5 linked regions of the Macaca fascicularis genome follow. The protein of the gene in region 2 interacts with the protein of the main gene of each other region in a pairwise test. Links are inferred from orthologs where the notes say so. Each region holds a gene or a part of one and is shown on either strand. Other genes may lie near its edges.

Region 1 (4,843 bases), on a different chromosome or scaffold from region 2:
TTTACTATCATGAAGAGGTATTCACTGGAGGAATGTTATTTGCTTACTAGGAACAAAATGTGTTAGAATATGAGGGAGAAGACTAAGGAAAACGGGTGGCTGTGCTTACTCCTCAGGACTTAGTAATGTTGATGGTCCCTGGTCTACACAATTTTGCTTTATTTCTGGTTTTCAAAACTGGTTCCTTTAACAAAATATTAAGAATTCCTAGATTGGAATTACTTTTTTTTTCTTTTTACTTATTCAACACTTTCAGATGATTTTTTTTAAAAAAAGAATGATGTTTAATTTCTAGGAGAACTTGAATTGGTAGAAGAATAAGAAAAAACAACACTATGGGGTTTTGTTGTTTAGTGTTAGCTGTTTGTGTATTTTTTTCATTTAGCTGTTTATTCTGATGTTCTTGTGGTAGAGTTCGAAAAATTCTTGATAGAAAGACACAATAAAAATAATAATAATAAAAATCTTGGGAATGGGGGCTCATTTGAGAACTAAGCCAGGCCCTATTGAAAGGAAAACTAAGAGAAGTTTTAAATATTCAAAGTACTAATGAATGGGCTGGGAAACAGGCAAATTCCTGCAATACTAGAGGGTGGGAGAGTGAACTGACAGAACCCACCAAGAAGGGAATCTGGCCATTTGTATCCACAAACTTGAATCCAGAAATTTCACTTCTAGGTATCAAATATTAGGAAATAATAATAGACAGAGAAGACATTTACAAGAATGCTCTTAGCAGCATCATTTATTTTTTTTTAAAGGAAATAGTTATCTATCTGTAAAGGGATGGTGTTGTGATACATGGATATGACAATAAGATATGGTAATCAAAATCACATTTGGATAATATTGAAAGTTAAGGAAAAACATTGCACCTTCTATAATGTCAAGTGGAAAAATATCAGTATCCCAAGGTATCTCAAATTAGTTAAATGTATTGAATTTATAACTGTACAGGGAAAAAAATACTGGAAATAAATAGATGAAAATGCTAACAGTATGGTAATGTGGAGTGATTCGATTTTTTTCTTTTTTGAAATTTTGTGTTCCAAAATTTCTAGGATGAGTATATGTTACTTATTAATGAAATGAATTCTCTTTCTGAAAACATAATTCAGAGAATTGTGTGTTCGCACAGGCCCCCGCCTATTCCTGTGCCTAATGAGGGGCGAAATAAAGTGTTGGAATCACTGGGGATTATCCTTTAGAATTACTGAATTTATGTTTACGTGGGCATTATTAAATCGGGTTCCTCTCCTCAGGTACCCACTCCTTTCTGAAATACCCCAGTTCTGGTACTAGCACGTCACCTAGAAGGAAGAATCCTGGTATGGCACGGGTCCAAACTGGAGGCGGCCTCTCAGCATGGACCCGCTTCAACCTCGTCTGCATGGCAGTCGTTTTGCAAGGCGTCAGAAGGCATCTCTTCTTTGGACTTTTTGTCGGGTAGTCTCTAGAAGCCATTAGAGTGAAAGCTATCTTTCCTCCCTACAGCTAAAAACGTTAAAGTGAGCGCTCAGGCGGCCCTGCTCCTAGAAAGATCCAGGCACCTTCACATACTCCAACCCCTGGCCGGGGGGACAGTTGGAAACGCTGACTGGTGGCGAAGCTGCAGGGCACCCAAGGCCCCCTGCGACCCAGGAGTGACCCAAGTGCACTCGCCCCTTACTCTGGCCTGCGGCCTGAAGGCACTGGAACAGGGAAGCTGACGCTGCACTTAAGATGCAAAGCGTAGATTTGCACTCTGGCTAAGGCACTGAATGAACACCACTGTGGCCCTGGGACAAGGAGCCATGGTCCCTCTGGAATCAACCAGGTGAAGAGGGAGAGGGAGAAAGGAAGAGAGAGGGCTCGCGCGCGGGAGAGAGGAAGGGAGGGGAGGGAGAGGAAATGGAAGACAGCAAGGGTGTTCCTTCTCAGAGGTCCCACTTTGTCAGCAGTTCCCCTCGACTGCTCTGCCTTCCATGTTTCCTTCCCTCAGTTCCTGGAGAAGCATCGGAGGACCAGACAGAACCCTCTGGCTACCAGCAAAGCTCGCATCCCCGCACCCTCGCGGCGTCTGCTCCAGAGCCTCCTTGCAGGCGCCTGCTGGAGCGCCTGCTGGGGATGGCGCACCACCGACTCTTGAGGCTTTTTAAAAAGTAAGAATTTCTACTTTATTATCTCTATGAAAAAAAAAAAAAGTAAAGAGGAGAGGTTAGATTCTATAGAAGCTCCAAAGTCTGCCATTTGCGAGGAGGGTTCTCTTCCCACCCACCTAGCCCACGGAAGCTCTTAGGAGCAGCCTGGACGGCCCGGACTCATCCTCTCGCGCTCTGACATCCCCGCTCGCCCCTGACCCCGACTTCACTTAGGGCGGTCGCATAGATATGAACTCTACAACAGCCACTCTGCTCGGGGACTTTAGGGATCTTACAATCTCGAAACCGACCTCCAGAAGGCCAGACGTTCTGTCTTGGGGCGTCCCTCTTGGCCCTTTAGCCTCACCCAGTACCCGGTCCTGACACACCCCAGCACTACCAGACCAGGAAGGGCAGACTCTCCCCACCCGGTTCAGCCGCTTTCCTTCTTCTCACAGCTCTCCAAGAGCTCGGTCATGAAGGAGATGTAGACGATGGCCAGGCGGAGGGTCTCGATCCGGGACAGCCTTTTCTCGTAAGCAAACGTGGGCACCTTCCTCCGCAGCTGGTCAAAGGCCTCGTTGAGGTTGAACATTCGCTTCCTTTCGCGGATGTTGGCGGCCTGGCGCTGGGCGTAGGTGATCACCCTTTTCCTCTTGGGGCGGCCTAATAGGGAGACGCCTCTCTCGCGCTCCTCTTCCTCCTCCTCTTCTCCGTCCCCCTGGTCCACTTCGCACTCCTCTTCTTCTGGGTCCCCCTCTTCAAACCGCGCCATCCTCCTGGGTCTTCCTTCTCGGAGCGGAAGGGCTGGATCCCCAAAGGAGACCCCGGGTGCGAAGTCGCAGAGGAGAGGGCGTCCCGGGGAGGCCAGGGACAGGTCTGCGACGAAGTCCAGCACCGTAGCGTCCACGCAGCTCTCTGGATAGGCCGCCATCGCTTCGGCTTGGCCCTGCCTCTCATCGGTTTTCCGCAGGGAGGGGCGAGGCTGCTGGTGGAGATTCTTAACAGCCTTGAATCTGATGGGGCACCATCACCGAAGGGCCAGGGAACATTAAATATTTATAACCGAGCTGATAACAGGATTAGTCGCACCGATAAGAAATGCTCTGACAACGTCCCTTCTCTCGAAGCTTATGGAAGATGACAAGCTTGAGCACGCATGGAAGACTCAAAGGGACAGGCCTCCAGTTCTGAGATCCTTTTCTCTGCGCCACCCGGGACAGTTCCTTGTTGGCAACAACCCCCAGCTCTTACCTGCTGTGCTTTTTGTGTCTGTCTTCACCCCTGCAGCCAACTAATGTTCTCCGGGCTCCTTATCTCGTGTAGTTCTTTAATTTCGTGTTGGATTTTCAAAGCGAGGATGTTTTCCACGGCGATGGCTTCTCCTTGACTTCAGGATAGGAGTCTTGAATCTTGCCACCATCTGCCAATGGATGTGGAGCAAGTGCATGTGCTTTTAATGATGTCCTGAAGAGGGGCCCTGCCTGCCTGGGATCGAGGGGAGCTGTTTGTCTGGTATCCCAGTGCAGCGGCTGCTGAAAGGCAAGACCTTCCATTAGCTTAAGTAAGCATGGCAGGGGGGCCGAGAGTGCATTCCCCAGAGTCGCTGTTGGAACCGGCTTTCTTTTTCTTTCCAGGGCATCGCAAACAGCTCTCCTGCCACGTTACAAACCCTTGCTTCTAAAGTCTGTTTGGATGCAATCAGCCTAACAATTGAGATACTTGACTTTCCTTTCCCTACCTTTACCTCCTGCTCATATAAAATAGAGGATTTTATTCCAAGAGGAAACGTTATGACGGCAATAAAATGACAAATTTAAGCTCAGGACATTTTCTATGCTCGGGCTTTGCTGTATACCTTTCAGTGTGGGGGACAAAGCAAACTCTCCCCACAAACAAAACCACTTCAAGCTCTTTTCAGAAATGCGATTTGCCCTTGATAAGCCAAGGAGTCAATCAGTTCACCCTCTGCTGAGGAGTCTTCGGACTTTTAAATTGCGGATCGAGTATTTGTTCCTGAACAAAGAAAAAAACCTAACACTTCCATCTGGCTTATTTTCCTCATTGATTTGTATTGTCCTACAGTAAGATTTAAGAGCAGAAACAATGACTTATTGAATTATATTTAAAGGAGCTTTTTGATTATCGTTAGATCGTTGAGATAAGAAAGAGATTTTAAATTTGGCATAATAAAAATAAGAGTTTACTCATTTTATATTTTCTCTAGTATCCCTAATATTTTAACAAAAGGGTCCTTTTTCTTTGTTTGTCAATAACTATATTTACTTAATTATTCAGTAATGTGTAAAGATTTATTTAAAAGACCCATTGGGTCAAAATGACAGATTAGAAGATAATTTTAAAGGTAGATTAGAAGAAATAGCCTAAAAAGATGAATGTGGAAACATCTCGGTTCAAAAGAGAACCGCCCAGGACATCAGTCCGTATTAAGGGGTAAGTTGTGGCTAAGATGGTTCACTCAGTACATTGGACAGCTCCCAGAAACCAGAAACCTCCTGTTTCTAACAGGTAATCTCAATTCATTTTCTTCTTCCTAGCCTCTCTCTGTGTAATCAGAACAGTATAACCTTGAATTCTTCTTCTTTTAACCCATTTGTGTCTGGTGTCTCTGGATCTTCTAAGAGATTTTATCTTCTTTTGCTTGTGTTTACTGTTCATTCTCCAGTTTGCATTGTGATAACTCAGGCAGAGAATAATTGAAA
Region 2 (4,706 bases):
ATTTCTCAGAAACACTCTGGGGACTACTTGCATAAAACACCTAGTTTGTGTACTGGATTCACTTCACTTGCACTGGGACAAGAGCACCGGCCACTTTCAATCCCTGCTTCTAGGCAAAGATTCCCTCTGGTTTTTCCGCAATCTCAAAGTAACTGTTAAAGGCAATTTTTCATTCCAGTCTCCATCTCTGAAGTCTGAGATCCACCATTTGAGTGTGTGACCCCTGCTCAGTGCACCCCATCTAGGCACTAGGCCGGGACATAAAATTACCTCCTATTGCAGTATGGTCGGTTTCCCAAAGTCTCGATTACCTTGCTTAGGACATTTACACTAGATTCCACTGCTGGAAACACCCCCACCTTCTTTCTTATCCCCTCTTTTCACCTGTCTTTAGGTCTTAGGGAGTATCTCATCACCTTCATTATATGATAGCTGCTGTTGGATTCTAAAATTCTATGGGCAGGGATTGGGGGTTTTTTGTTGTTTGTTTGTTTGTTTGTTTTTTAGTTTATCCGGTACTAGCCAGGAGCCCTCCAAAGAACAGCTGCTCAATTAATATTTGGACGATTAAAGTGTAAGTGACCAGGAAGTCAAATGTATTGCTATTTAATTTCCCCCACATTCCTGAAAAAGCTAAGCCAATCCGGGTACATACACTTCACTTTTACAAAGAAAAACTAAAAAGAACAAAACAAAGCAAGAATTGACCACATTTTACTTTTTTTTTTCTCTACTTCATGGTCCCACCAACTTTATTGCAAGGTAATTTCCTTTTCACAAATTTCATATTCCAATTCCATATTATCTTGTTCTAGATCACAGGAAAAGACTTAAAAGATTTTTAAATTGTTTTACATAATGCAAAAATTCTCGCTCTTCAACCTGTTATATTTTAATAAATGAGTGATTCATGCCTTTCACAAACTTAGATTCTGAAACTAAATAAATCTACAATTAAAAAAAAGGACACTGAAAAGCAGGAAAAAGAAAAGATAAATCATTTTACATACAAATATGTTATATATAGTGTTCCCACCAACTCCCCTTTGGCCCTCCATTAATTAGAAGGTTAAGTGTTTTGTTAATCAAAAGTAAAGAATATACCTCAGACTTCACAAGGAGTGGGAGACACTGCTGGACACCACACTGAAACATGCCAGACCCAGTTGCAACACTATCTCTGGCTCTCTCTCCCTCATCTCTCCAAGTCTTCTCTTAATGGAGGGAAGACAATGGGGACACTGTCATTGACCTTGGCCCAGGCCTCCACATTCTTGAATAATCTAAGCAAACCAGGTATGTAACTTTTAAATTTATGAACAAAAAAAGACTGAACGGAGTAAGACAAACCATGAATAAAGCAACTTTTACTTTTCTTCTCTTTCTATCTTCAGATTCTACCTATTTTACTGTGAAGTTATTATAAATTTCTAAGGATAACCTTACTCCCATGCCATGTTATTTTGCTCTGTATCACAAAAATGATTTCAGGATTTTCTATTTGTATTTCTAAAACAAAATTCTTATTACTAAACCAACCTGATAAACAGCAATAAGTGTGTGATGCATGCCATTTCTAAACTTATATTCTGAATCTAAATAAACTTTCTATTTTAAGAAACATCACTAGAAAATACAACAAAGAGATAAATCAACAAGTTATTCATGCATCACAGGAACAGAGAAAGCAACAGGTCTTTCAACCACAAAATGAACAATTTGCCTTAGATCTCACATGGGGTGGGAAGAGCTGCTGGATGTGGCCCTGGAATACGTACTAGTCACGGCCGTAGTGCCACGCCTGGCTGCAACTCTGGGCCGGGCTCCGGTTCTCTCTTCTTCATCTCTCAAAGCCTCTTCATAAAGGAGTGGGAAGTTATTGGGGGTGGTGTCATTCACCTTGGCCAAAAACTCCAGGACTTTCATCTTGCTGGTTTCTGCATAAGCTCTTGGACCCCACAGGAATTGATAGCGTGGGGGATCACTGTTGGGCACCTGTTGGTATTCCAGATATTTTTCCTGCACCAGATCTTGGGTGATGAGCTTTCGGGGTTCCCCAAAGATAAGGTGCCTCTTTCCATCATAGATCCCCAACATATTCAGGAATTCCCAGATTTCCTCTTCACCGGCACAGTTGCCGTTTAAGAAGATCACACTCAGTAGAGGCATCAGAAGCCCGTTTCTCGGAAGGCTCCAGGCACTGCTCTGGTTTCCATCATTGGTGGGGCCTAGCATGCTGACAAGGATGTAGGAGTGAGTGGTGGGGTTGACCTCCTTCAAGGCAAGGCCAAAGACCAGCTCTGTGCGCTGAGAGACTTTCCTGAAGATCTCAGGGAAGTGCTCCTTGTACTTTTTGCTGATGATCTTCAGCATTTCTGCCTTTGTAGTGGGCTCTTTCATTTTATACTTGTACAGCAGGAACTGCACCAACATCTTCGTCTTCCTGGTTAGAGGATCTTTGAGTGATCTCTCAGTGGATGTTGAGGCCTGGGAGGAACTTGCATTTTCCTCATCTTGGCTCTCTTCACCTTCATCAGGTCCAGTGCCTGACATAGCTGCAGCAGCAGGGGTGGTGCGTGGCTCTCTCTGAGGCTTCTGGGGAATGCCCAAAGCAAGGGAGCTGGAGGGAGTATCCCCCAAAACAGATGAGGAAGAGGAAGGAGACTCTTCTTTCTCTGCTGCAGTAGCCTGACCAACCTTGAGATCCTGGGTCTGAGCACGGGTCCGCTGGCGTTTCTCACGGGCACGAAGCTTACTCTTCTGACCCCGAGGCATGATGGCTGTGGTTAGGCACAGCAGGCAGGAGTGTAGGCAGAAGGGCAGGTGATGTGGTTCCTGGAGAAGAGTGAATGAAATCCTGAGAACACCTTCAGCAGGCAGATACTACCTTGGCTTTTCAGAAGCCGCCTCTGCAGGATTCCTTGAGAACACTGCTCTAAGTATTCACTGGGCTATTGTTCTTAGTCATTCTGTCCCCTGAGAACTCAGCTGAGGAAGTTACAATGTGCCTTAGGCTGCAGCTTGCCAACCCTGCCTGGGGCTGACTGGGTGACAACAAGCCTCGCAGTTGGGATCTCTGTGTTCAAGCTTGGAGAGGATCCACTCTGATTACCTTTAAAATTATCATGTCAGCTCTTGGCAGGGCCTGAGCCTCTCTCTATTGGTGTTGTGAAATTGACTCTTTAGTTTTCTGGGACCCAAATGAACGAAGTCCAGGGGCCCCTCAACCCACCACCCCTGCCTAGAAGCATTTAGTACTCTCTCTTTAGGTCCCAGATTTGCACTCAAGATCCTCATCTGGACTCCATGCAAGGTTGTGGACTGTCTCTTCTGCTGACTGATAACTGCGACTTCGGAACAAGAATTTCACCTTTTCTAGTTCTGATATAAAATGTGATGGGCATCTAAGAAAAAAAAATTGATTACCTGGACTTTGCTAAATTAAAACTTCTGCTCTGCTAAGGATACCACAAAGAGAATAAGATAACTCCCAGGTTGGGAAAAAATTATTTTCAAAAGACATATCTTATAAGGGACTGTTAACCAAAACATACAAACATTTCTTAAAACTGAACAATAAGAACTGACCAACCCTATGAAAAATGGGCAAAAGATCTAAGCAGGCACCTCAACAAATAATATATATGGAAGGCAATACATACATGAAATGATGGTCAACATCACAGGTCATTAGAGACTTGCAAATTAAAACAATAATGTGATACCACTACATACCTATAAGAATGGTCAAAATCAAAAACACTGATAACCCCAAATACGGATGAGGATGTGGAGCAACAGGAGCACACTGTCATTGCTGGTGGACATGCAAAATGGTACAGCCACTTTGGAAGACAGTTTGTAAGTTTCTTACAAAGCTATGCATACTCTTATCATATGATCCAGCAAGTGTGCTCCTTGTTATTTAGCCAAATGAGTTGAAAACAGTATGCCCACAAAAAAAAAAAAAAAAAAAAAAAACCCTGCACACAAACGTTTATAGTAGCTTTATTCATAATTGCTCAAATTGGGAAGCAACCAATATGTCCTTCAGAAGGAGAGTGGGTAAATTAATAGAATAAAGTATTATTCAGCACTAAAAGGGAATGAACTATCACGCCACAAAGAGACATGGATGAAACTTAGATACATATCACAGAGTGAAAGAAGCCAATTTGAAAAGTCTATACATTGCATAATTCCATCTATATGACATTCTGGAAAAGGCAAAAGTATGGAAACAGTACAAAGTTCAGTGGTTTCCAAGGGTTGGGGAGAGTGAGAGATAAATAGATCAGGCACAGAGAACTTTTAAGGCAGTAAAACAATTCTGGATGATGCTATGGTGGTAAACATATGTCATGTTACATTTTTAAATATTAAAACCCACAGAATGTGCAGCATCAGGAATGAATCCTAAACTACAGACATCGGGCATTGGGTGATAATGACGTGTCCATGTATTCTCAATTGTAACAAATGTATCACCCTGGCTTGGGAGATTGATATGAGGGAGGCTGTGTCTGTGGGAGGACAGGATGCCCATGGGACTCTGTGCTTTCTGCTCAGTTTTGCTGTGAACGTAAAACTATTCTAAAAAAGAAGGTCAATTATTTTTTAAAAATTAAAAAAGTGGTGGTGAATCCTCAACCTTACATGCTGCTCTGGCAATTTAAGATTTATGCAGGGGGGTGGACTCTGTTGTC
Region 3 (4,098 bases), on a different chromosome or scaffold from region 2:
ATGGGCTTCCTAGGCAGGAAGCAGAGGCAGGGCCACATGCTGCTAACTACAGAACCGTTTGCCCTGACCTTGACTTTGAGCCGGAGCCACAGCTCAGTAGGATCAATACCTTTGGATCCCAGTCTGAACCCCTGAAGGTTTTACACATGATTCCATGTATGTAGACAATGGAATATAGAGTGCTGACTAGGCAAGAGAAGGACCTAGGCTCTTTCAGGATTTATTCTGTGACTTTGAAGTAGTTAAATTCTTTGTTGTTGTTGTTGTTGTTGAAACAGAGTCTCACTCTGTCACCCAGGCTGGAGTGCAGTGACACGATCTCAGCTCACTGCAGCCTCTGCCTCCTGGTTTCAAGCGATTTTCCTGTCTCAGCCTCCCGAGTAGCTGGGACTACAGGCACATGCCACCGCGCCTGGCTAATTTTTGTATTTTTAGTTGAGACGAGGTTTCACCATGTTGGTCAGGCTGGTCTCGAACTCCTGACCTCAGGTAATCCACCTGCCTCGGCCTCCCAAGCTTCGATGACAGGCATGAGCTGCCATGCCCTGCCAGTAATTAAATTGTTGAAGGTTGAATTGTGCCCTCTTTAAATGGAAGAGAATTCTACTCTTATCTCACTTCCTTTTAGTAGTAAATCCTGATAGTGATAAATAAGGGCTTATTCATTTTTTTTCTTTTCCATAGTGTATAAAATGCAAGCCGTTATCATTTATCCTGTTGAGCACTTTCAGCTCCTGATTACTGATGGGAAATGGAAAGGTGTTGAAGCATGTTGGAGAAAAGGCCCAAGAGTCTCTAAAGATGGTGGAGCTGGTCACATTCTGCCAGAAACTCAGTAGTTCCTGTCCCTGGGGAAAGGCCTTCAGGAGACAGAGGACTGGGAAGGTTATTTGGGCTACCTCAACAGTCTCTTTGCCTTTCTATATCCAGGCTCACGTTTCCTCCTTTTTCCACTTCTACTCAATTTAGGAGCCCAGGGGATCCGTGACTTGCTCGTCACCTCTTCCCCTAATGGGAAAAACGATGGGAAAGGAGAAGCATGCTGGCAGACAGCACCTGTTTTTTTCTCTAGCCATAAAACAGCATTGAGATCTGTCTGATACTGGAAGATTTGGGTTTTTGGAAATGGGATGATTTAGACTTCTCAATCCAAATTCAGCAATAGCGCATACTTTCTAAAGATATAAAGAGAGAATTAGGAAAGCAAAAATGGGAAAAATTAGGGTGAAATTAGGTCCTTATTGGTAAGGAGTGTAATTGCATTCAAAAACAACTGGGGTTAATGAGAATAACAGGAGCTAAGAGTTCCCAGCAGGGTGGGAATATGGTGTATACACCAAAGGAAAGGGCCAGAGAAGAGGAAAGGGGCATCGATAGCATTCGCCATCAAACTGCCCCCAGAAAGGAATGGTAGAAGTTTAGAGCAAGGCCAGCCACCAGTCTAGAGCAACCTGCTCTGAAAGACCAGCCTGTGGGGGATCCCCAATCGGTATCTAAACAGCCAGGGTGCATTGTGGCTTGGGGTGACCAGTCCAAAGTGACTGCACAGGGAGAGAATCACAAGAGGCAGGAGAGCGCGGAAGTGCTCTGTTAGCCACCCAGGAAGCTTACCTTACAGAGTAACCACCCCCTCCGCACCCGCCCCCACCCACAGTGTGACACACTGCTGTCCAGACTGACAGAATTGCAGGAAAAGTACAAGGCCAGCCAGAAGGAGATGGGGCAGCTGCAGATGGAGCAGTGTGAGCTCCTGGAGGACCAGAGGAGGATGCAGGAGGAGCAGGGCCAGCTGCAGGAAGAGCTGCACAGGCTCACACTGCCACTGCCCAAGAGTGGCCTCTTACTCAAGGTAACTCCGCCAGAGGCAGCTGCTAACTGGGGAAGCTGCTCTGAGAAGCTTCCCTGTGTGACTAGGGAAAAATAGAAGGGTGGAGGTTGAACTTTTTCTTCTTCTTACCAATGACTCCTTACTTTCTCACCACTCTCCCCAAACCAAAAAGCTCCATAGAGCCAATTAGAGTTTTTCTTATAAGGGCTTTAAATCTTAAAATACCTTTTATACTCTGGAATCTGTGCAGCAGTTTATATTTAGTTATTTAGTCCATCTGGAGAAAATGCACCTGAAACCACTTTGTAAATGACAAAATATATCCCAACGTAAGAAACCATTGCTACTTTTAGCTGGTCTCCATAGAAAGACTCCCCCTGTCCCCAGATGGGCTCTGTGAAGCCAGCCCTGAGATTCTTCAGGGAATTGTTCACAGCAGGGATGAGGCACCAAGGAGGCATCGGACTTTCTGTGTAACCACCACAATCCCTTGCCTCCTTCCTTCTACTCCGCCTCAGAGTCAGGAGCTACTCACCAAGTTAGAAGACCTGTGTGAGCTGCAGCTGCTCTACCAAGGCATGCAGGAGGAACAGAAGAAGCTGATACAGAACCAGGACTGTGTATTAAAAGAACAATTAGAGATCCACGAAGAGCTGCGACGTTTCAAAGAGTCTCATTTCCAGGAAGTGCTGGAGAATCCCGATGATTCCAAATTGGCTAAGTCCTCAAAATATAATCGAAACAAGGTAACCATAGCAAGAGGTAGGGAGACAGTTCTCCTGAGCACAGCAGCATGACAGGGAGAGTGGGCACTGCTGAAGGGTCAGAGTTGGGAAGGCCTGTTTGGCCAGGGGTAAGGATAAGGCTAAAGCCCTGCCCTTCACCACCTGTGACCTCTTTCAGGCTCCATTAAGAGGTGGCTTTTAGATACAGCCTGAGGACCTCACCTAGATGCCATTATCCTTTATCATATTGATATTCACAGTGCCCAGTTGAAGCACTGTGAGCACTCAGGGCAGAGCTGGGATGACCCAAAATCTGTCATCGGATCATTTGACTCATTCCTAGTAAGATGTATAGTTGGATTCCTTTGGACTGACTCTAAACATGTCATCTTTTTCTTGAGTGGAAAAGTACGGTTCTCAGTTATCAAAATCGTTCACCTTTGGTGTTATCTGTGAGGCAAATTTGGGCCCTTTCATTTCCAAGAGAAGAATTCCTAGCACATGGGGTTCTTAGTACTGACCACACTATCTTCATTGGAACTTTGGTGGCAATAACAGAGCAAGGTCACAGGGGTTAGACCAGAAAATCGATGCCTTTCAAGTACCAGCAAGGGGTCATACCGATGAGGTGACACAGGTGGAGATCACCGTACAATTCTATTCAGGGTTGGGGGCTAAAGTTGTTCTGAGGTCTCAGCGTGGGTGAGGAGGGGCAGGTAGACAGTTTCGGTTTAGGCCGAATCTATTCATTCAGATCTTATTCTGAACAAGGAGAACCAGGGAGTAGCAGAAGTCAACACTGTGAGGCTGGATCATATTCCAGGGGCAGCAGATGTCCAGGCTGCAGGCCTGGGTAACACAGCTGGGAACCAGGTATAAAATATTTCCTTAACTGATCAGATCTCATCCTGGACATCAGCGCCAAGAAGCCAGGCCCAGAGAGCCTGGGAAACATGCCCAGAGGCCAGATTCAGAATTGGGGCAGGAGATACAGGAACTAATAGTGAGACTTTGATTCCAGTTCTTCATATTGCCGCGTTCAAGGCCAGGCTGATTTTACAACTAGGGGTGGGCAGGGAGACTGAGCCTGAAGGTCAGGATAACAGGTATACCTGACTGAGAAGAGGGTGTGATGGGGAGCCAAGGTGTTCTGGAAACCCACTCGGGACTGCTCCAGGGAGACAGGGATGTACCAAAGTGCAGAAACCAGCTGAAATGGGAGCCGGGAAATTATGGAGTATCTGCCCTGGGGATATTTTCCCAAATGAGCAAGAAACTGATACATGCCAGTTACCTGTAGTTTAAGTCAGAGACATAAGCCGGGGTGAGGTGGAAATGTAGGCATGCCATTCTCTAAGGTGTGCTCTCAGACATCTGTACCAGGAAAGGTGCAGCTGGAAGGACTGAAGTGTCACAATAATGATAATGTCTCCCCACCCCTGCCCCCAGCAATCCAAGCTGCTCATGGAGCAGATGCAGGCCCTGCAGGTGCTGTATGAGGCCAGTCAGGCGGAGCAGGAGCTCTTGCAGCAAGAGCAAGGGAGG
Region 4 (4,098 bases), on a different chromosome or scaffold from region 2:
GTGGGAGAGATGATTCAAAGAGCTGCATTAAGGACAGGCGCAGCGACTCATGCCTGTAATCTCAGCACTTTGGGAGGCGGAGGCAGGCGAAACATTTGAGGCCAGGAGTTCGAGACCAGCCTGGCCAACATGGTGAAACTGCATCTCTACAAAACATACAAAAATTAGCTAGATGTGGTGGTGTGTGTCTGTAATGCCAGCTACTCAGGAGGCTGAGACAGGAGAATCACTTGAACCTGGGAGGCGTAGGTTGCGGTGAGCAGAGATAGCAACATTGCATTCCAGCCTAGGCAACAAGAGCAAACCTCCGTCTCAAAAAAAAAAAAAAAAAGGGGGGGTCTGTGATTGACAAGGGCTATGTTCTCGTTAGTAAGCTACTACCCCTACCAGGTTCAGGCAGGGCGGCTCACCTGATACCACTCTTCCTCGTCCCCACTGCTGCCACCTCCGCTGCTATGTCCGCCACTGCTGTTTGCCCCACCAGTCCGAAGCTCCGCCCGTTCCCACCGCAGCTGCTCCAGCAGGAGCACGTGAGCTGGACCCAGAGCTCGGAGGGCAGCCTCCCGCAGCTCTAGGCCCCGCTTCTCACGCCGCACCAGCTGCAGCCGAAGCATCAGGTCCGTCAGGGCCTCCTGCGGGACCAAGGAGAGGGGAGAGAATTTCTGCTTCTACCGTCAACTGCAGGGAAACTGAGGCCCCAAGAGGCACCCACTGAGGCCTATTCAGACAAAAACTGTGACCTTTGGCTGGGCACGGTGGCTCATGCCTGTAATCCTAGCACTTTGGGAGGCCGAAGTGGGTGGATTACCTGAGGTCAGGAGTTCGAGACCAGCCTGGCCAACATGGCGAAACCCCGTCTCCACAGAAAATACAAAAAATAGCCAGGTGTGGTGGTGCACAACTGTAATCTCAGCTACTCAGGAGGCTGAGGCAGGAGAATCACTTGAACCCGGTGGGGGCAGAGGCTGCAGTGAGCCGAGATAGCGCCACAGCACTTCAGCCTGGGTGAGAGCAAGACTCTGTCTCAAAAAAAAAAAAAACAAAAAACAAACTAGGACCTTCACCATGTTCTTTTTTTTTTTTTTTTTTTTTTTTTTTTTTTTGGTGAGACGGGATCTCGCTCTGTCACCCAGGCTGGAGTGCAGTGGCCGGATCTCAGCTCACTGCAAGCTCTGCCTCCCGGGTTTATGCCATTCTCCTGCCTCAGCCTCCCGAGTAGCTGGGACTACAGGCGCCTGCCACCTCGCCCGGCTAGTTTTTTGTATTTTTTAGTAGAGACGGGGTTTCACCGGGTTCGCCAGGATCACCATGTTTTTGTGAGGTGGAAATATCTTCCTCCCATAAAAACCACAGCTGTGGCCAGGCGCGGTGGCTCAAGCCTGTAATCCCAGCACTTTGGGAGGCCGAGATGGGGGGATCACAAGGTCAGGAGATCGAGACCATCCTGGCTAACACGGTGAAACCCCGTCTCTACTAAAAAATACAAAAAAAAAAAAAAAACAAAACAAAACAAAACAAAACAAAAAGTAGCCGGGCAAGGTGGCGGTCTACTGTAGTCCCAGCTACTCGGGAGGCTGAGGCAGGAGAATGGCGTGAACCCGGGAGGCGGAACTTGCAGTGAGCTGAGATCCGGCCACTGCACTCCAGCCCGGGCGACAGAGCGAGACTCCGTCTCAAAAAAAAAAAAAAAAACCACAGCTGTAGAAATGGCATTTCCTAGAGGGCAAGTAGCTTACATAGGTCATAGAGCAGTTCTGTCAAAGCTTCTGGAGTTTCTCCAGCTTCAGAACCTCAAGGTTTTCATGCCAAGCTACAAACCCAAGACTGTGTTCTTTGCTCCCATCTCTTCCCATACGAAGGGCATTTTGGAGAGCCAGATTTGTAGTCTATTGAGACAATGAACCCCAGAAGACAAACTCCTATTAATCCCTCAAAACCCCAGTTCCAATTCTCCTTCACAATGCCTGCACCCAGCCCAGGAGAATTCTCCTTTGCTCCTTGATCCCCCAACCTCAGTAAAGGATTTTGTCCCATCAAGAAAAACTGACAGTGACCACAGCCCATTTGTACCCTTGTGGCCACCAGGTCCTGCTGAATTTGTGTCTTCTCCAGTCGGGGAAGAGCTGGGCCAGACTGGGTCCCCAGAATGGCCTGTACCATGGCTTCTGCACGGGGCACAGTGGGCATGGATGCCAAGGTGGGGCCAGGCTCTGAGAGAATCTTCACTAGAGAACGGCGGTCCTGGAGACGCTGGACATAGCTTCGGAGCTGGAAAGCCACTTCCTGTGGTGTGGGCTTATCCACACTGCTGCCCTCAGGGCTACAGAAAACAGAAGATGTGCCTATGTTAACACCGGCAGGCATAGGTGGGTTAACTTCATGCCAATCCTGGTAGGGTCCATCATCTTCCATCTCACTGGCCACGACGGAGTCTTTGCCATCTGTGGTGGCCCCTGTCACACCAACGTACCCCACTAGGCACCATCTTCCATCAAGACCACATTTTGGTCAGGTGTGGTGATGCACGCCTGTAACCCCAGCACTTTGGGAGGCTGAGGTGGGAGGATTGCTTGAAGCCAGAAGTTTGAGAGCAGCATAGGCAACAGAGTGAGAATCCGTCTTTATAAAATAATTAGCTGGGGCTGGGCACAGTGCCTCACGCCTGTAATCCCAGCACTTTGGGAGGCAGAGGCAAGTGGATCACCTGAGGTCGGGAGTTCGAGACCAGCCTGACCAATATGGAGAAACCCCATCTCTACTGAAAATTCAAAATTAGCCAGGCATGATAGTGGGAGCCTGTAATCCCACCTACTCGGGAGGCTGAGGCAGGAGAATCGCTTGAACCTGGGAGGCGGAGGTTGCAGTGAGCCGAGATCAGACTATTGGACTCCAGCCTGGGTGACAAGAGTGAAAATTCGTCTCAAAACAAAACAAAAACCAGGGTCTTGGCCAGGCGCGGTGGCTCAAGCCTGTAATCCCAGCACTTTGGGAGGCCGAGACGGGCAGATCACGAGGTCAGGAGATCGAGACCATCCTGGCTAACACGGTGAAACCCTGTCTCTACTAAAAAATACAAAAAAATAGCCGGGCGAGGTGGCGGGCGCCTGTAGTCCCAGCTACTCGGGAGGCTGAGGCAGGAGAATGGCGCAAACCCGGGAGGCGGAGCTTGCAGTGAGCTGAGATCCAGCCACTGCACTCCAGCCTGGGCGACAGAGCCAGACTCCGTCTCAAAAAAAAAAAAAAAAAAAAAAAAAAAAACCAGGGTCTCACTCTGTCACCCAGGCTGGAGTGCAGTGGTGCAATCTCAGCTCACTGCAGCCTCCACCTCCCAGACTCAAGGCTTCCTCCCACCTCAGCCTCCCAAGTAGCTGGGACTACATGGGCACACCCGGCTAATTTATTTGTAGTTTTGGTAGAAAAGGACTTTTGCCATGTTACAAGGGCTGGTCTTGAACTACTGAGCTCAAGTGATCTGCCTGCCTTGGCCTCCTAAAGTGCTGGGATTACAGGCGTGAGCCACTGTGCCCGGCTGTGGGTGCCAGTTTTAACCAGTAGGCATCATTATCCATCTTCACGCCAACTGCAATATCTGTCAACCACCATGCTAACTTTGTCAAGTAGCAACAGGCCAACTGCAGTTGAGCCTCATGTCAACCAACTACAGTGTGCTCCATACCGACCTTGCTGGACACAGCCACACCAAGCCCCCAAACATGGTGAGTTCTGGGAGCCCCAATCCCCAGTCAAGACCCCACTCCTCAACCAGGCCAGTTCCCAGGGTTCCGGGGAGGTACCTTGGCTGTGGATTCTGCCGTGCCCCTGCATCCATGGTGGCCTCCTCTTGTGCCAGCAGCCTCCATGCTTCCTCTTCAGCTGCTTGCAGGTCACTCGTGGGGGCTTCGTCTCCTGCTTCTGAATTGGCCTCCCGCAGAGCAAGAAGAACCCTGTATGCCTCTTCACAGTGCTCACTATGGGACACTGGTTCTGAGTGCTTCAGGACACTCAGCTTGGCTGGGTGCAATGGCCCTCACCTGTAGTCCTAGCACTTTGGGAGGCTGAGGCGGGAGGATTACCTGAGGTCAGGAGTTCGAGACCAGC
Region 5 (4,098 bases), on a different chromosome or scaffold from region 2:
AAAAACTGGAAAAATTCCCTTTGACAACTGGCACAAGACAGGGATGCCCTCTCTCACCACTCCTATTCAACATAGTGTTGGAAGTTCTGGCTAGGGCAATTAGGCAAGAGAAAGAAATCAAGGGTATTCAGTTAGGAAAAGAAGAAGTCAAATTGTCCCTGTTTGCAGATGACATGATTGTATATTTAGAAAACCCCATTGTCTCAGCCCAAAATCTCCTTAAGCTGATAAGCAACTTCAGCAAAGTCTCAGGATACAAAATTAATGTGCAAAAATCACAAGCATTCTTATACACCAGTAACAGACAAACAGAGAGCCAAATCAGGAATGAACTTCCATTCACAATTGCTTCAAAGAGAATCAAATACCTAGGAATCCAACTTACAAGGGATGTAAAGGACCTCTTCAACAGGAACTACAAACCACTGCTCAGTGAAATCAAAGAGGACACAAACAAATGGAAGAACATACCATGCTCATGGATAGGAAGAATCAATATCGTGAAAATGGCCATACTGCCCAAGGTAATTTATAGATTCAATGCCATCCCCATCAAGCTACCAATGAGTTTCTTCACAGAATTGGAAAAAACTGCTTTAAAGTTCATATGGAACCAAAAAAGAGCCCGCATCTCCAAGACAATCCTAAGTCAAAAGAACAAAGCTGGAGGCATCACGCTACCTGACTTCAAACTATACTACAAGGCTACAGTAACCAAAACAGCATGGTACTGGTACCAAACAGAGATATAGACCAATGGAACAGAACAGAGTCCTCAGAAATAATACCACACATCTACAGCCATCTGATCTTTGACAAACCTGAGAGAAACAAGAAATGGGGAAAGGATTCCCTATTTAATAAATGGTGCTGGGAAAATTGGCTAGCCATAAGTAGAAAGCTGAAACTGGATCCTTTCCTTACTCCTTATACAAAAATTAATTCAAGATGGATTAGAGACTTAAATGTTAGACCTAATACCATAAAAATCCTAGAGGAAAACCTAGGTAGTACCATTCAGGACATAGCCATGGGGAAAGACTTCATGTCTAAAACACCAAAAGCAACGGCAACAAAAGCCAAAATTGACAAATGGTATCTCATTAAACTAAAGAGCTTCTGCACAGCAAAAGAAACTACCATCAGAGTGAACAGGCAACCTACAGAATGGGAGAAAATTTTTGCAATCTACTCATCTGACAAAGGGCTCATATCCAGAACCTACAAAGAACTCAAACAAATTTACAAGAAAAAAACAAACAACCCCATCAAAAAGTGGGCAAAGGATATGAACAGACATTTCTCAAAAGAAGACATTCATACAGCCAACAGACACATGAAAAAATGCTCATCATCACTGGCCATCAGAGAAATGCAAATCAAAACCACAATGAGATACCATCTCACACCAGTTAGAATGGCGATCATTAAAAAGTCACGAAACAACAGGTGCTGGAGAGGATGTGGAGAAATAGGAACACTTTTACACTGTTGGTGGGATTGTAAACTAGTTCAACCATTATGGAAAACAGTATGGCGATTCCTCAAGGATCTAGAACTAGATGTACCATATGACCTAGCCATCCCATTACTGGGTATATACCCAAAGGATTATAAATTATGCTGCTATAAAGACACATGCACACGTATGTTTATTGCAGCACTATTCACAATAGCAAAGACTTGGAATCAACCCAAATGTCCATCAGTGACAGATTGGATTAAGAAAATGTGGCACATATACACCATGGAATACTATGCAGCCATCAAAAAGGATGAGTTTGTGTCCTTTGTAGGGACATGGATGCAGCTGGAAACCATCATTCTTAGCAAACTATCACAAGAACAGAAAACCAAACACCGCATGTTCTCACTCATAGGTGGGAACTGAACAATGAGATCACTTGGACTCAGGAAGGGGAACATCACACACCGGGGCCTATCATGGGGAGGGGGAAGGGGGGAGGGATTGCATTGGGAGTTATACCTGATGTAAATGACGAGTTGATGGGTGCAGCACACCAACATGGCACAAGTATACATATGTAACAAACCTGCACGTTATGCACATGTACCCTACAACTTAAAGTATAATAATAATAAATAAATTTAAAAAAAAAAAAGATTTAGAAAAAAAAAAAAAAATTTATAAATGGGATGCCTTCCTTGTTAAGGTCCCTCACTCAGCTAAATTAATACAAATTCTCCTCTAAAGGAGTAACAATCTATTATCTGACATGAACCAGAATTATGAGATGTTAGGTGAATTGACTAAGTTTTTTACAACAAACAAAACTTGCAATATCCTCAAGTAACAATATTTTTAGAAACAAAATAAGCTGAATTTCTCAAGAAATCTAATTTTAAAGGATAACAAAAAATGTGAGAGTCAAAATAAGAGAAGCTAAGAAAATCTGTTTACCTTCTGTAGGGTTAGCAGGCTGGTCTTTGTTAATTGCTGTCTGAATATTACTGAAAGAGGCAGGAGGACCACATTGCTGCAATACTCCAATGGCATTACAAAACTGATCTGCAAGCTTAGGCCAAAGAAAACATGTCGAGGTTAGAAAGGACTTATCAGTTTTAAGGACTTTATTGGTAACAGCAACAACAATAAGTTTCTGTAATGCTAATCTCTGAGCAAGGGAATAAAACAGAAAGGAGTAATTGTTGATAAAATAAGCCAGTTGATTACATGTTTTAATTCTGCAAAGAAACTAAGTTTGGTATCAATCTAGGTGAAGTAAAATTTGATATAAATCTAGTTGGAACAGTTGAAATACAAAACAATCTTTCTTTTCTTGTTATAGTAAAATGATAAGAGAACACTGGCCAATACTTATTGTAAGCCACAAGTAAAGACTTTTTGCGGACAGTGATGGAAAAGAGCAAATTTGACTTGTAAATATCTAAGTATGGCATCACGTTTAATAAAAATTTATTACTCATGCACAAAGTATATGATTCCTTTTCTGAGACTGGAGTAGTTATAAGTGTAAAAAAAATAGTGGGGAAAAGGCTGCTCAGAAAAGCACCTTGAGTAATCAGAAATGTATCTGTTCAAGACTCAATTTTTAAACTCTTGTACTCTAAAAGTACTCCGTAAGTACTTTTAAAGATGGAGAATATCAATTCCTTACCATCTCCAAATTAAATACACCTATCCTCCCCACCAATTTCTCTCACCTAGTCTTGACCTCTCAAACCTCCTATTTCTAATAAGCATTTCCTTTGGGTTTCTCTGCCATTGTTTCAATGACAGAACTCAAAGGCAACTGTTTCCTCTGTTTAATATTTAATTTGTATTGAAAGTCTCCTAGTCAACCAGTCTAACTTCAGATTCTTGCTTTCCTTTGATCTTCAAATTATGCTAATACTACAAATCTTCCTCTTTTCCTTCTATCATTATTGTTGCTTAGTTCAACCAATTATCTCACACCAGAATTATTACAATAGCCTTCTTGTTGTTTGCCAGTTCACCAGGTTATTTATTTTACCCTGATAAAAACATTTGAGCTTACTCCACCACTGTCTTCAAGGTAAACCTCCAACTCAGGCTGTTTTGAAGCTTTCAACAATCTAAGTCAACTCTACTGACTTGTTTTCCACTACTCCTTCATATTTACCTAACTAGTCATAAAGTCACTTATGACTAAATGGCTTTGCCCAGGTTTTAATAATAGTAATGGAGCAATAAGTGCTCAGACGCTATACAAACGTAGATCCCAGCTCTATTAACCCAGGTAGCATTTTTCATTTTTAAATTGGATACATTCTCCTATTACAGCATTGTTGTGAGGAAGAGGAAATACACAAAATATTCAACACAGTGTCTATCTGTTCCATCCTTCAAAAACTTTTAGGCCGGGCGCGGTGGCTCAAGCCTGTAATCCCAGCACTTTGGGAGGCCCAGATGGGCGGATCACGAGGTCAGGAGATCAAGACCATCCTGGCTAACACGGTGAAATCCCGTCTCTACTAAAAAATACAAAAAACTAGCCAGGCGAGGTGGCGGGCGTCTGTAGTCCCAGCTACTGGGGAGGCTGAGGCAGGAGAATGGCTGAGGCAGGCGAATGCTCGGGAGGCGGAGCTTGCAGT

The links.
Region 1: the proteins of MAGEB4 (region 2) and FERD3L interact in binary tests that used the Homo sapiens proteins (3 or more experiments, as listed by UniProt). The two-hybrid records come from large-scale screens. The link is inferred for Macaca fascicularis from reciprocal best matches to the Homo sapiens genes MAGEB4 and FERD3L.
Region 3: the proteins of MAGEB4 (region 2) and CCDC136 interact in binary tests that used the Homo sapiens proteins (3 or more experiments, as listed by UniProt). The two-hybrid records come from large-scale screens. The link is inferred for Macaca fascicularis from reciprocal best matches to the Homo sapiens genes MAGEB4 and CCDC136.
Region 4: the proteins of MAGEB4 (region 2) and USHBP1 interact in binary tests that used the Homo sapiens proteins (3 or more experiments, as listed by UniProt). The two-hybrid records come from large-scale screens. The link is inferred for Macaca fascicularis from reciprocal best matches to the Homo sapiens genes MAGEB4 and USHBP1.
Region 5: the proteins of MAGEB4 (region 2) and MED21 interact in binary tests that used the Homo sapiens proteins (3 or more experiments, as listed by UniProt). The two-hybrid records come from large-scale screens. The link is inferred for Macaca fascicularis from reciprocal best matches to the Homo sapiens genes MAGEB4 and MED21.

Annotation. Positions count from the first base shown.
Region 1 is NC_088377.1:111,066,286-111,071,128, reverse strand, and holds FERD3L (fer3-like protein), read right to left. Parts: upstream 3,079-4,843; 5' UTR 3,055-3,078; coding exon 2,554-3,054; 3' UTR 733-2,553; downstream 1-732. UniProt on the Homo sapiens protein: Transcription factor that binds to the E-box and functions as inhibitor of transcription. DNA binding requires dimerization with an E protein. Inhibits transcription activation by ASCL1/MASH1 by sequestering E proteins.
Region 2 is NC_088395.1:30,249,124-30,253,829, reverse strand, and holds MAGEB4 (melanoma-associated antigen B4), read right to left. Parts: upstream 3,006-4,706; 5' UTR 2,776-3,005; coding exon 1,732-2,775; 3' UTR 697-1,731; downstream 1-696.
Region 3 is NC_088377.1:170,267,853-170,271,950, forward strand, and holds part of CCDC136 (coiled-coil domain-containing protein 136), read left to right. Parts: intron 1-1,654; coding exon 1,655-1,849; intron 1,850-2,346; coding exon 2,347-2,574; intron 2,575-4,002; coding exon 4,003-4,098. UniProt on the Homo sapiens protein: May play a role in acrosome formation in spermatogenesis and in fertilization.
Region 4 is NC_088393.1:17,575,992-17,580,089, forward strand, and holds part of USHBP1 (harmonin-binding protein USHBP1), read right to left. Parts: intron 3,969-4,098; coding exon 3,795-3,968; intron 2,321-3,794; coding exon 2,071-2,320; intron 633-2,070; coding exon 411-632; intron 1-410.
Region 5 is NC_088385.1:29,779,600-29,783,697, reverse strand, and holds part of MED21 (mediator of RNA polymerase II transcription subunit 21), read right to left. Parts: intron 2,538-4,098; coding exon 2,423-2,537; intron 1-2,422. UniProt on the Homo sapiens protein: Component of the Mediator complex, a coactivator involved in the regulated transcription of nearly all RNA polymerase II-dependent genes.